Stegostoma tigrinum: one gene and its partner. The protein of the gene in region 2 interacts with the protein of the main gene of each other region in a pairwise test. Links are inferred from orthologs where the notes say so. Each region holds a gene or a part of one and is shown on either strand. Other genes may lie near its edges.

Evidence for each region.
Region 1: the proteins of usp25 (region 2) and UV excision repair protein RAD23 homolog A-like interact in binary tests that used the Homo sapiens proteins (3 or more experiments, as listed by UniProt). The link is inferred for Stegostoma tigrinum from reciprocal best matches to the Homo sapiens genes USP25 and RAD23A.

The regions. Positions count from the first base shown.
Region 1 is NC_081388.1:16,541,084-16,548,106, forward strand, and holds the start of UV excision repair protein RAD23 homolog A-like, read right to left. Parts: upstream 3,092-7,023; 5' UTR 2,887-3,091; coding exon 2,821-2,886; intron 1-2,820. Other genes in the region: calreticulin-like, read right to left, coding at 6,845-7,023. UniProt on the Homo sapiens protein: Multiubiquitin chain receptor involved in modulation of proteasomal degradation. Binds to 'Lys-48'-linked polyubiquitin chains in a length-dependent manner and with a lower affinity to 'Lys-63'-linked polyubiquitin chains.
Region 2 is NC_081365.1:8,220,393-8,228,426, forward strand, and holds the start of usp25 (ubiquitin carboxyl-terminal hydrolase 25), read left to right. Parts: upstream 1-4,961; 5' UTR 4,962-5,014; coding exon 5,015-5,056; intron 5,057-8,034. UniProt on the Homo sapiens protein: Deubiquitinating enzyme that hydrolyzes ubiquitin moieties conjugated to substrates and thus, functions in various biological processes including inflammation and immune response.

The DNA.
Region 1 (7,023 bases), on a different chromosome or scaffold from region 2:
ACCTTACTATTCATATACCCATCCAGATGCCTTTTAAATGTTGTAATCATAGCAGCCTCCACCACTTCATTCCAAACACGTACCACCCGTGTGTGAAAAAGTTACATCGCAGGTCCTTTTTAAAGCATTTCCCTCTCACCTTAAAATTGTGTCGTCTAGCTTTGGACTCCCTAATCCATGACGCTCATGATCTTATAAACCTCTGTAAGCTCAGTCTCCAACACTCCAGGAGAAAAGAAGCCCCAATGTATTCAGTCTCTCCTTATAGCTCAAACTCTCCAGTCCTGACAACATCCTCGTAAATCTTTTCTGCACGCTCTCAAGTTTAATAACATCCATCCTATAGAAGGACAACCAGAATTGCATGCAATATTCCAAACGTGGCCTCACCAACATCCTGTACAGCTGCAACATGACATCCCAACTCTATATTCAATGTTATGACTAATGAAGGCAAGGGTGACAAATGCTTCTTCATCACCCAGTCTACCTGCACTTTCAAGGAACTATGCACCTGCACCCCTAGGTTTCTTTATTGGGCAACACTCCTCAGGGCCCTACTATAACTGTGTAAGTCCTGCTCTGGTTTGCCTTACCAAAATGCAACATGTCACATTTATCTTAAATAAACTTAATCTGCCATTTCTTGACCCAATGGCATATCCGATCACGGACCTGTTGTACTCTGAGATAATCTTCTTCATGTTCGCTACATCACCTATTTTGGTGTCATCAACAAACTTACTAACCATACCTCCTATATTCAAATCCAAGTCATTTAATTAAATGACAAAAAGCAAGGAATCAGCACTGATCCCTGCAGCACACCACCGGTCACTCGCCTCCAGTCCAAAAAGCAATATTCAACCACCACCCTGTCTCCTACTTTAAAGTCAATTTTGTATCCCATTGGCTAGCTCCCCCTGGATCCCGAGTGATCCAACGTTACTAACAACTTCACCATGCAGAACCTTGTCGCACACTTTGGTGAAGTCCACACAGACATCTACTGCTTTGCCCGCATCAACCTTGTCTGTCGCCTATTCAAAATACTCAATCTAATTAGTAAGACACATAAAGCTATGCTGACTATCCCTAATCACACACTGCCTTTCCAAATATATGTAAATCCTGTCCCTCAGAATCCCCTCCAGCACCTTACCTACCACTGATGCAAAGCTCACTGGTCTCTAGTTCCCTGGCTTTGCTTACGGCCTTTCTTAAATAACAGCACCACATTAGCCAACCTCCGTGATCACCCATAACTACTGATGATACAAATATCTCAGCAAAGGTGACCACCAATTTTATTCCAGCTTCCCACAATGTTCTGGGAAACAGCTGACCAGGTCGTGGGGATTTATCTACATTTATGTATTTTAAGATCTCCAGCACTTCCTCCTAAAACAGAGAACAGTACAGGCCCTTTGGCCCACGATGTTGTGCTGACCTATTATCCCACTAAGATCAACCTACCCTGCAAACCCTACATTTTGCTATCCTCCATGTTCCTATCCAAGAGTCACTTAAAAGTCTCTGAAGTATCTGACTCCACTACCACTGCCAGAAGTGCATTCCACATGCCCACCACATATGACATCTCCCCTGTACCTTCCTCCAATCACCTTAAAACTATGCCCCCTCATAATAGTCATTTCTGTCATATCAACCTTTTCCAAGCCACCTCCATTTATTTCCAAGTTCCATTTCCTTCTTCACATTAAGTACTGAAGTAAAATACTAGTCATTCATAGTCAATACTTTTATTTCATGCTTAAAAGGCCTCCCACTTCCCAAACAAATTCACTTTACCTGGAAGGAAAACAAAGTTCCCGGAAAAACACAGCAGATCTAGCAGCATCTGGGGACAGTGGTCCCTCCTCAGAACTGCTGCCAGATCTGCTGAGCTTTTCCAGCAACGTTGTTTTCGTTCCTGATTTACAGCATCCATAGTTCTTTGGTTTTCACTTTACCTGTGAATAGCTTTCCCCAATCAACTTTTGGAAGTTCCTGTGTAATACCTTCCAAATTGGCCTCAATCCGATTTACAAATTTAAATTGTAAAATCAGTTCCATCCTTTTCCATAACTATTTTAAAACCAGCAGAATTGAGACCACTTGCCCCAAAGTGCTCTCCCACTGACACCTCTATCACCTGCTCTCCCTTATTTCCCAACTGAAGGTCAAGTATTGCTCCTTCTCTAATAGATACATCCATGGTGAATAAGAAAGTTTTTTTGTACACACTTAACAAATTTGTTCCATCCAAACCCTTAATACTACGACAGTCCCAGTCTGTGTTTGGATAGTTAAAATCCCTAACCAATACAACACTATTTGCTTATAGATTATCTGAGATCTCTGTGCATATTTGCTTCTCAACTTCCCACTGACTATGGGGCGGGGGCGCTATTAACAATCCCAACAAGATAATCATCCCTTTCTCATTTTAAATTCTTCCCCACTATAACCTCATTGGACGATCTCCCAGCAATTAACTCCCTATCCAAAAGAACCACACTTCTCCTTCTGATAACATCTACAGCCTGGAACATGAAGCTGCTAGTCCTGTTTACCTTTGAACCATGTTTCTGCAGCGGCTATGACATGCCGGTCCCAACCAAGCCCTGGGTTCATCTCCCTTACCTGTCAGGCCTCTTGTATTGAAGTAAATGGAGTTGGGCGAGGGATTGTGAGGGTTTGAGAGGGCTGTTGATGGGGAGGTGAGGGTCGTTGACTGGAGGCATGTGAGAGATGTTAGGGTGGTTGTGAGGTGGGGGGGTAAATGAGTACAGTGTTGAACCCCCTTCCCTCCCTCACCGTCTGCTCGGGGTCGATCTCGATTCTGAACGTTTGCTGCTGCAGCGTTTTCACGGTGATGAACATGGTGACGGTCTCCTTCCCCCTTACCTCCCCTCGCCGGGGAGGTGGAAGGGAAGTGGAACCGCCGCCGGGTGGGTTTTTTTAAAAAAGGCGATTAAAACAAAAAAAAAATCAAGTAATCCCGCTCCTCCGCCACCTGCGGTTTGCTCGAAGATTCCACCAAGGCCCCACTGCTTCAAGCCACCACCGCCATCTTTACGCAAACGCTACGCTGGCGTAACGTCATTGCCATGGCGACCGGGCTATCTCACGTGGTGTGTGGCCTTCCACTAAAGTCGGAGGGAAGATGTGCCAACTCGGACTCGTTACTTGTCTCAATGCCTGACAACTGTGCAATTAAGTTTCAATGTGCAAACGATAATGGAAATAAGAAACTTGCATTTATATTGAGGATAGGCAGTAGCAGCGTACTAATGTCACAAACAAATCATCCAGAAGTCCAGGCACTGCAGAGGCAGGTATAGGGTTTTGGGGGGGGGGGGGGGGGTGTGGGGAAAAGGTTCACTCTCCTGTTGCTGTATCTGCAGGGATTATAAATTGGTTCAAAAATATTTTTTAAGAAGAAAATCAAGACAACAATCAAGGCAGCTGGCAGAATTTAAAATTTAATAAAATGCATCAGTGACCATATCTTGCATCAGAGTTCCTGCTGCTAGGTTAGCAGGCCAGGTGCAAGTCCCACATTTTCCAAATGTAATATTGATTAGAAAATATCTGGGATATATCTCTGGTCATGGATAACACCATATGAAGCTGGATGAACACAACAGGCCAAGCAGCATCACAGGGGCAGGAAAGTTGACATTTCAGGTGGCCTTGACCCAAAATGTCAACTTTCCTGCTCCTCTGATGCTGCTTGGCCTGCTGTGTTCATCCAGCTTCATCCATGTTGTCTCAGATTCTCCAGCATCAGCAGTTCCTACTATCCATGTCTCCATCATGGCAGCTTTCTAAGGTTGGAATTATGAACAAAATGCACTGTAGGACCACCTCAACACATTCTAAGCAGCTCAAAGCACTCCACTGCATCACATTTAAAAAAAAAATCAGGTTAATAGCTCTGATGAGCACCACTCACTGAAACATGTCAGAAGTCATATGGGACCAGGTTTATCTGAAGTAACAAACCTTCCAAATGCAATCACCTGATGAAGGATCAGTGCTCCAAATACTGGTGATTTCAAATAGACCTGTTGGATTGTAACTGGGTGTTGTATGACTTCTGACTTTAAGCGTAGAAAACTTCGTCAGGGACTTGCGACAAAATTTTCTTTGGATTACTGAGCAGGACAGCATTATCTGAATGCAAACTGCATAAGTGTTAGAAAATGTTGCCCAAATTCATCCCCACCGTGGCTCCATTTTGAAGCCTCAAAACTGTTTCAGTCCGTCTGTCAAGAATGTGGCAGGGGAGAAGGACAGAGTAAGGGGACAGTCTGTCATAGCGCTTAACCTAAATTCCAACTTACAAACCTACTTGGGAGTCCAACTCTCACTTTTGAGACTCCTGTAATATTGTGAACTCAAAATGAAAGACAGGTGTCTTCAGGAAATATTGTCAAAATAAAGAATTACCTTTTAAATCAAGTCAAGTGATAGACAAGTACTGAAATGTGACATAGCTGATCAAAAGCAATGATTTCTGCATGTATAGGAGATCTGCTTTACATAGAGGGCTTGAACTGGGATTGACAACACTGCAACCATGCTCCAGCACCTCAGCCTGTAGGGTTTTTCTTTGAAAAAAAGATTGCTGTTAAAAAAAAATCTCTCCTGGCTCAAATGGTTTTTCTGGAGCAAATGACTGCTATTTGTGCAGTCTGAAGTCTTGTACAAAACCTACTTCCAGTAATTACACTCTTCACTCCCAAAAAAAAAGTGAAGTTCATGCATTTTCCATAGTTTGAAAAGCAAACAAAGTGCAAGTCTAGTACATAACTAGGGGACATAATCCTTACTTCTAAATTTAGGAGCTTGCTTTTAATTTAAAAAAAAATTACAACTTGAAAAATGCTCAACCAGAAAGTGGAAGCAGAATCTAGTGGCTTATTATGGAAGTAAAATTTTCAATATTTATCCAAAATAGAAATGGTGGGATTGCAGGGGTTAATTATCTATTAAGAGGTGATAGACAAATTCATTCTATGCTGCAAAACTCTGTTTTAATGAGTTAAGAGGTCAGTTCAGGAGGTGTGGAAATTGGTTACTCACAGGGATATCTAATAGAATCAATTGGAGAGAAAACCACCAACATGGAAAGAATTGCCATCTGACAAAAGCGCTCTTCATGGAGTTCAATTACCTTATTCTGTAGTCAAGAACATAGCAGTTGGAAAGCATCATAGCAGGACTAGACCATTCAGCATCAGGCTTTGTAATAAAAAGGTCGCCAATTTGTTTTACATGCATGCTATTTCTGATGAATAAAATGGTACCCAGGTCCCTCTGAACGGCAAGCTTTCAGGATCTTGACCCTTGAAAAAAATTTCTTTATGCACAAATCCAAACTGGATAACTTATCATAATTAACATCTGCCATGCCCATTTGATGACTTTAGCCCTTTGCAGTTTGTTTCTCCTCAATTTAATTTTCTGCATATTATAACAGTCTTTGTTAGGATTATCCTCTGACCCTCTGTATTAATTGATATTACAATTAGCTAAAATCCAACACTGATTCTTGCATTAATCTCACTGGCTACAGCCAGGCAACCCAAATGGCTTGTCCAATTCCAGCTTTATTAACCAATGAATCCACACTTTACCACCCCCAATACCAAAAGTCCATGAAATTCAAAGGACTAAGAACTATTCCAAACTGAAAAGGAAAGAACAAACAATTATTTCACTTCCATTGGTATTTATTGTAGAAATGTGATCAAACATACTTCTGTATTGCACACAGAACAAGTTTTCCCCAAACAGTCATCAATTAAATCACCAATTTACAACATTTAAATAACAGATTAAAATGACAACTTTAGACTTGGTCTGTACAGAATTTAAGTCTCCTTTTGAATGTTGTTGGAAATAAAGAAATTTTTCCCCCTCCTTTTCATGAAACCCCCATATAAAGAATGCAAAATACAAAGGCAAAGTTGACCCTGGATTTGGAAAGAGCCGATAAACATCCATTTATATAACCAGTGCAGTCCTGCTCTACCCAATTGTTCTGAATGGAAAAGGCAGCTATACAATTACACCTACAGTTGAAGCCCGTTAAACAGGGGCACCCCGCACCCCCCCCCCCACCTCAAATGGAAGTGAAATTGGTCAATTTAAATCATACCATCCCCAATGTTAATTCCCATCAGATTTTAGTTACACCTGGGAACTGAGTGGTTCTCAAAAACCAAAAAGAGAGATCTTATAAAGCAGTACAGCCTGGAAGTTAACTGGCATCAACTGTAGAATCTCAAACATGCTCAAGTACACTGTTCAGTTGTATCATGTTTACCTAGACAAAGACACAAAACAAGCTAACCTAACAGCACTGGAACCCAAAATTTGGAAATTACTGGCAGCAAGCAAATAGATTTGGGCTTCTACCAAATTTTAAACTGAAGGGTTGACCAATTTAAAAAAGCTAACACCTCAGTTGAAAAACAGCATAAACGTGCTCAGATGATTTCTAGGATTATTAAATGTGGCATGTTCAAGATGCAAGACACAACAGCCCAAGTTCCACTCAGGTTTGATCCTTCCCTACCCACCATTATGAAGCTGACTTCTAGTTACCAAATTTTTAATAAGGAAGGTTTAGAAATTTCAGCAGTCCCTTCCTCAGTGGATATATTCTCATGTTCACTTACTGCCCCAACCCTAAAAGCCTGACATTTCCCCCCCCCCCCGCCAATTTGTTCATAAACAAAAAACATTCCAATAAGGGGTCCCAGTTGCTATGTGTAACTTTTCTGCACATTGCCCTGCTGCCATTCATTCTCAGCATTTATTACAATCTTTATAACTCATCCTTTTGAACGGTTTCTGTTTCTTCTTCCTCCTCCTCCTCATCTTCCTCTTTTTCTTCCTTCTCTTCATCCTCATCCTCCTCATCCCCCTCAGCATCATCCTCCTTATCCTTCTCTTCCTCCTCTCTCTTCTTTCTCTCCTCTTCATCCTGTTGCTCTTTCATTTTCT
Region 2 (8,034 bases):
CTCCTCTGATGCTGCTTGATCTGCTGTGTTCATCCAGCTCTACACCTTGTTCCTTTGTGACCTGCATTTGTTAGTCACAAGAGTAGTGAAGGCAGTTGACTTTATTTGATCCCACATTGTTCTGATAGCGGAAAAAGTGGTCTACCAACTTATGATTTTTATCGTCTGAGTTTTAATATCTTGGATGTTTTGTTGAGACAATTTAAAATATATCTTTTAAATTGATAAAAAAAACTAACATGATGGCCACAGTAATTGTAAGACCTCTAGATGAGCCACATCATGAAATCACCAATCAACAAGACCCATTCTGAACTGAAATTAATAAGATTAGTCGCTCAGATCTGTATCTCCTGTTTGATTTATCCCATTCTGTAAGTTTCAACGTTAGGATGAACATCAATTATGGAGTATTCAGCTTGCAAACACCAATGAAAGCAGACACAGGAATACATAAAGGAATAATACTTAAGACAAATACCTTTGAGCATTGATTGAGAGAGGGTAAATGGATTCATAATAGACAATGACAATAGGTGCTGGAGTAGGCCATTCGGCCCTTCGAGCCAGCACCACCATTCATTATGATCATGGCTGATCATCCACAATCAGTATCCTGTTCCTGCCTTACCCCATAACCCTTGATTCCACTATCTTTAAGAGCTCTAGCCATCTCTTTCTTGAAACTATCCAGAGAGTTGGCCTCCACTGCCTTCTGGGGCAGAGCATTCCATATATCCACCACTCTCTGGGTGAAGAAGTTTCTCCTTAACTCTGTTCTGAATGGCCTATCTCTTATTTTTAAACTGTGTCCTCTGGTTCTGGACTCACCCATCGGTGGAAACATGCTTCCTGCCTCCAGAGTGTCCAATCCCTTAATAATCTTGTACGCCTCAATCAGATCCCCTCTCATCCTTCTAAACTCAAGTGTATAATAGCAGAACTGGAAGGCTTGCTTGCCTTTCTCCCTGTTTCACTCAGTGTCCCTTAAAATACAATGCCCAGTGTTAGAAGCAAATTGGAGAAATATATATTCACCAAGAACAGAAAGATATTCAGAAATTTCACTGCTGCTGAAATAAGAATCATCAACTTAATAACCGGGGTCGCACATTAAACCTAACTCCTTATAGACGTTTCAAACTGTATACACTTGAATTCCCTTCTTCTTACTAGATACTGTCTCTTTTGAAATGTTATATCTGTGTTTGCATGTGTGCTTGATGTCTCATTTTTATTTTTTTAAGGGTCAGTAATTAATAAAATCCTCCTTTCTTTCACCGAAGGAAACCCGTTGATTGACTCCTTACTTTTGACTAGTATTACATTTTAATTGAAATAAATGTGTGCTAAAAAGAATTTAAAATTTATTTTGCAGCCATACACTCATCCTTCCCTGGTCATAAATAATAATATAAATGCATAAAACTGCGGATGCTGGAAATCTAAAACAAAAACAGAGTCCTGGAGAAACACAGTAAATTTCTGCTAATGATGGAGTGCAGAGAAGTGACTACACTACACAGAGACAGACCACAGACATGGAGTGGGAGAGGCAAAGATAGAGAGAGAGAGAGATAGATACAGACAGAGACAGAAAGGGAGAGAGTGAGAGAAAGGGACAGGCAAACAAAGAGTTGAGCATAGAAATATCCAATGATAAGCCAGGAGGGAGATAAATGCTAAGTAGAGTGATAATGTAACGTATGGACAGTTGAAAATGTGTTGGCTATGTAGACAGAAATGCAGATAACGCGGGGGTAAAAGGGGAGGGTAGCCAACATGGAGTGTGATGACCACATTCTGAATTGTTAAACTCAATGTTCAGTCCTGAAAGCTACCAGGTACCGAGGCGAAAGATGTGTTGTTCTTCCAGCTTGTCTTGAGCTTTGCAGGAGCACTGCAGCAGGCCTAAGACAGAAAATTGCCATGGGAACATGGTGATATGATGAAGTGACAGAAAGCTGGAAGCTGGAGTCAATTTTATCAGCTGAGCATAGGTGTTTGACAAAGCAGTCACCCCAGGCTACTTTTTGTCTCACCAATGTTCACATAGTGAACAGCGAATACAGTACATTAGATTGGACGAAGTACAGGTAAATAGCTGCTTCACCTGGAAGGTGTGTCTGGGTCCTTGGTTAGTGAAGAGGGAATACATAGGCAGGTGTTACACCTTCTGCAAAGGCCTGAGAAGGCACCATGAGGGTGTGGACCTGGGTGTGCCGGAGAAAACAGTCCCCGTAGAATGCTGACATGGAAGGGGAATGTGTGTCTGCTGGTGCCATTCTGTTGGAAGTGGAGTAAATGATGGATTCTTTGGATACAGAGGCTGGTGGAGTGGAAAATGAGGATTGTTGTTGCAGGAGGGGACTGAGGGGTTACCTAATGCAGAAATGGAACAGACATGGCCAACGGCCCTGTCAACCATTGTGCCAGGATATTCTTGGTGGTGGAAAAAAGTGAACATTTCTGAGGGTCACTTGCAAATGGTAACATAATCAGAACAAATGCAATGAAGATGCAGAAACTGGGAGAATGGAATAGAGTACTCACAGGAAGTAGGGTGTGATGATATTTGGTCAAATTAACCTTGGGAGTCAGTAGATTTTTAATGGATATTGGTGGCCAGCTTATTCCTAGAAATAGAAACAGAGCTATCAAGAAAGGGATGGGAGGAGTCAGTGATGGACTGGGAAAAGGCAAAGGTGTGGTCATAACAATGTTTGTTTCGTTCTTGATAACAAGGTGTGGAGCTGGATGAACACAGCAGGCCAAGCAGCATCAGAGGAGCAGGAAAGCTGACGTTTCGGGCCTAGACCTTTCTGATGAAGGGTCTAGGCCCGAAACATCAGCTTTCCTGCTCTGAAGATGCTGCTTGGCCTGCTGTGTTCATCCAGCTCCACACTTTGTTATCCCGGATTCTCCAGCATCTGCAGTTCCCATTATCTTTGTTTTGTTCTCGTTGGGGTGAGGTTACACTGGACCTCCTTCAGTTGTTGTCATGTACTTATAAAATGTAAATGAGAGTCAGGAACTAATCTATACAGTAAAGCATTATTTAAAGTAAGTGTAGATCCACAGTGTTATTAAGGAGGGAGTTCTAGGATTTTGACCTAGTGATTCATTTCCATACCAGGATGATGAGTGGCTTGAAGGGGAACTCTCGTTATTCCCATCCCCAAATAATACCCAACCCCAGCTCCTCCCTCACTCAAATGACCCTCCCATTCTCCCCAGCTAATCCCCATTACCCAACCCATTTCTTCCCCAGAAGCTACGCCTCCCCGGGTTGTGCCCCTCAGCATTCCCTAAAAACACAGCCACTCTCCTAATAGCCTTTAAACACCTCGCACTTCCACCTCCCCATCCCCTCTCTCAACCTCACCCACTTTCTCCACCACCAGCCTCTCCCACCATCTCTCCTCCCCCAGCCTTTCCCACCTCTCTCTTCCACTACCCCTCCTCCACTCTCCAACCCACCTCACCCATGCTCTCTACCCTCAGCACCCCCCATCTTGGCCCCCACCTTGCCCCTACCATCTCTACTCCACCCTCTCACACTGTCTACACTCTCTGCCTCTCCACATGTACACCTCCAACCCTCTCTCCCTGTTTCCTCTTCCAATCCCAACGCCTGCCTTCAACTTCAGCCCCAACACCCTGTCTCCACATCCAATGCCTCCCCTAACTCCAAACCCAACCTTCTAACATTCCCCTCTCAACACCAGCCCCTCACCCTCATTCTGCCCTCAGCCGTTCCATCTTCTTCTCCTTCAGCCCCTTTTCTTGACGTAGCCCTGTCACTGTACCCCAGTAGCAATCCCTCCCCCACTCAGACCCACCATCTTATCCACCCGCCCCACAACCTCCACAACCGTTGCTCCGCCCCTTCAGACCTTGCACATACCACACCTTTTCATTGCCCCCATCTCTCCCCTACCTACATCCCCACTCCACAAACAGCCCCTCCCCTCACACCACCCACCCAAATTGACCCCGACCACATTCTTATTCCCTGCACAACACCTTCCCACATCCGCATCCATCCCTCCCCATTCCCACCCACTTATCCGCACCCTGGCCACACATCCAGACCTACCCCTCCACCACACATCCCATAGTCCTCACCAAGCCACACCCTCTCTCCCTGTCAAGCCCCATGCCTACCCAGCATGTCCCTGCCCTTTCTCCAAACCCCTCTCCAAATCCAGTCCCTCCCCTACACTCTTCAGACCTACCCATCTACCTGCCAAGCCCACTCATCTTGCCCCATCTCCTTCGCTCCATGCCACAACCACTTCCCAAGTTCAGCCTCACCCCTACCCTACTCAGCAACATTCCTTCACCACTCAGCCCCACCCCTACACCACAGCCCAACCATAAACCACTCAGCCCCACCTCTTCGCCATTCAGCCCCATTCCTGCAGCATCCAGCCCCACCCCTACACCAATCAGACCCCACACATTCACCCCTGTTTCCAGACCCTTTATCTGCTCTTGCCTCCTTTCCACGGCCCATCCCCTCGCCATACTAGCCACCCCATTCCTAGCCCCACCCTACCTTCAACCCCGCCCATCTCCCAGCAAGGCTCCCTGTCCTCTACCAGCCCCACCTGTTCCGCTCCCCTACTAGCCCAGCTCCACCCGTATGCCATTCCCACCCCTCGCCCTGAACCGATCCCCATCCAGCTCCGCCCCCTATTCTAGTCCCACCCCTCTCCCTGACACGCTCCACATCCAGCTCCGCCCCCTATTCTAGTCCCTCCCCTCACCCTGACACGCTCCACATCCAGCTCCGCCCCCTATTCTAGTCCCACCCCTCTCCCTGACACGCTCCACATCCAGCTCCGCCCCCTATTCTAGTCCCACCCCTCACCCAGACACGCTCCACATCCAGCTCCGCCCCCTATTCTAGTCCCACCCCTCATCCTGCCCCGCCCAGTATCGCAGCCCCGCCCAGTCTCCACCCTGTGCCCCTCCCCCTCTGCAGCTTCTCTCTGTTTGTGGATCGGCCATGACGGTGGAACAAAATGTCCTGCAGCAGCATTCACAGAAGGTAAACAAACAGGAAAGGAGAGGTTCCTTCCCACCTTGCCTTTTCCCCTCCCGCCTGTCCGCGGCCTTCTTGTCCACATGGACCTACGATGCCCCTGAATGTTCCTTTACTCGGGAGGGTCCGCCCGCCCGCGCCTGCATTCACCACCCCCCGTTCCCCAGACCGCTGCCGTTCGGTCACCGCCTGAGGAGCTTGTTGCCCCCGCTGCGCTGGCACGCGAGCCGCAGGCTTCTGGCCTAGCCTAGCAACAGCAACAATAATAATGCTACTGTAACGCCCAGGGTGTTAATGGAGCTGGCACCAGCCCCAGGTCGAGAGGCTCTTCCGAGATATTGCGCCTAGGCCAGCAAGGTTTTGAGTTTTAAATCAGGCTGAGAATGAAATTTGTAACTTGTTTATTTTTGCCTGGCGGTGAGGGCGGCAAGTTCAGTTCACTTTGGACGTAGTGTTAGGGTTTCACCTGAATTTTCCCTCCTTTGAGGCACAGCCCATAGTAGAGGACAATTGTAAAGCCTCACTAACAAAATCAGCCATTTATTTGTCTGTGTCCTCAGCCTCTAAGCTGCATTTTTCCCACCTGATCCTTTCCGCACTCTTCTTTTAAGGCACTCCTTAAAACCGTAAGCTTTTTGGTTGCCCCCTTCCTCAGTGTCAAATCTTGTCTAACAGTGCTCCTGTGGAGCACCTTGGCATATTAATCACGTTGTGTTTGCAAGTTGTAACAATTTCGTTCTGGCAGTGGAATGAAATTTTCTGAACTGCGTGATGCATTTTCACTCTTTTTGTTCTGAACCATGTTGTGTGTATGCGGTGCACTGTCTGAGGTACTTTCTCTCAAAATGATATGTCGAAGAGCCATACCTTCTGCTGTTTTCAGGTCATAAATCATACGACACCAGGTTATAGTTCAACAGGTTTATTTGAAAACACAAGCTTTCTGAGCCTCAGTCATTTAGTTGTTAATGAGAGGTAGTATCAGACAATTTATATGTAAAAGATCAACATTCCACACCATTGATGAGAATATCCTAAACAAATTTAAGATGCTGCTAAATCTTTAATCAGTTTTAAGGTTTTAATTAATATGGATATGTAAATCCACGAATTCCTTTCAAGCCACAGTCCTGAGAGAACTGAAGGTTTTACCAGAGTAAGGAAGAGTTGACATTTTAGGTTAGACAATGCAAGTTAGGTGTGTGACTTTGCTTAGAATCTGTTTGTGTTTTAGTTTGGAATCAGACTGGTTTTATTTCCAAAGTAGACATTTATATTAAAAAAAATTGTTGATAAGTTGTGTGTTTTTTGAACAAACTAAAATGTAGCTGTCAATACGTATTGACCCGATTGATTTGAGTGAGAGAAAGACAGTTTGAGAGAGTGATCAGAGATAATGGGAACTGCAGATGCTGGAGAATCCGAGATAACAAAGTGTGGAGCTGGATGAACACAGCAGGCCAAGCAGCATCTTAGGAGCACAAAAGCTGACGTTTCGGGCCTAGACCCTTCATCAGAAAAGACCCTTTTGTGATGAAGGGTCTAGGCCTGAAACATCAGCTTTTTTGCTCCTAAGATCTGCTTGGCCTGCTGTGTTCACCCAGCTCCACACTTTGTTATCTTAGTTTGAGAGAGAGAGTTGTGTGCATGTATATGTATACAAGAGTGTGTATTGTGGCGGGGGGGGGGGGGGGGGGGGCGTCACTTGTAGTGAGATGTGAACCCAAGATTCTGGTTGAGGCCATCCTCTTGGGTACCAGACATGGCTATTAGCCTCTGCTCAGTGTCTCTTCATTGTTGTGTATCCCAAAGTCCACTTGAAGATCCGAGGTCAAGCGTCCTTGCGTGTCGAAGTCTTCCCCCACTTGGAGGGAACATTCTTGTCTGGTGATTGTTGGGTGGTGTTCATTCATCTGTTGTTTCTCACACGCTCATTTTCTCAGTCTCCCCCCCCCCCCCCACCCTTCACTTACACACACACACACACACACACACACACACACACACTGAATTCCCCGCAACACACTCACATACGCACAAATCTACACAGACTTTGTCCATTCCAGTCCAACAGCGGCATTGCCACATCACTCTTTTCAGGTGGAAGTAGAATAAGCTGACCTCACTATATGAAAGAAGAATGGGGAACTTAACCTCTGGCATAGCCAAGATATTGATCACTGAAATTATAATACTATGTTCGTGATCAGATTGTGGTTTTGGGGCATTGCTTTGCACAAAATGACTGCCACTTTTCCCAGATTACAGTAGTGATTATGTTGCAAAAGTTCCTGTTTGTCTGTAAAGTGCTTTGAGATAATCGAAGATCAGGAAAGATGCGATATAAACTGAAGTTTTGAAGTTGTTTTTTTGATGCTTAATACATTATTGAGTTATTTACCTATTGAGTTTTGATGAATGATTATAATGTAAATATTGTGTATGCTTTTGTATATCTTACATATATTGTACTATGATATACTGTTGACATATTTTCTCTTTAAGTTATGATGTTGGCCTAGATTTAAAGGTCGACAGATGCATATTTTAAGATGCTCTTGTCTGTTGCTTATGATTTCTTATCAGACAAGGTATTGCAAATGTTTATTTTCTCATTTCCTTTCAATTCATGTTTAGAGAGCCCATCTGCTTGCATAGTGATAGGATTCATGAATTTTTATTTTAGGATTAATAGCTTGTTTCTATACAGAGCTTTCAGAGATCTTAGTTTATTGAAACTTTTGTATTGTCTTCCGTACAATTTTATTGGCCCGTTTTGTGCTGCTTTTGCTGTTCGTTCAACCAAAATTTTTCTTGCTAATGTCAATATTTTAAAACCCAACAGACCTGCAGAGTAAAATATTGAAGTAGTTGAAGCCATTTTGTGACAAGATCGATCAGTAGAGTGGAGTGTCATCCAAAATCCAGCTTTCAAAGCTGGTGAAGGACTGAGCAATAGAGAGTAGCCTAGGGATGTTATTCCA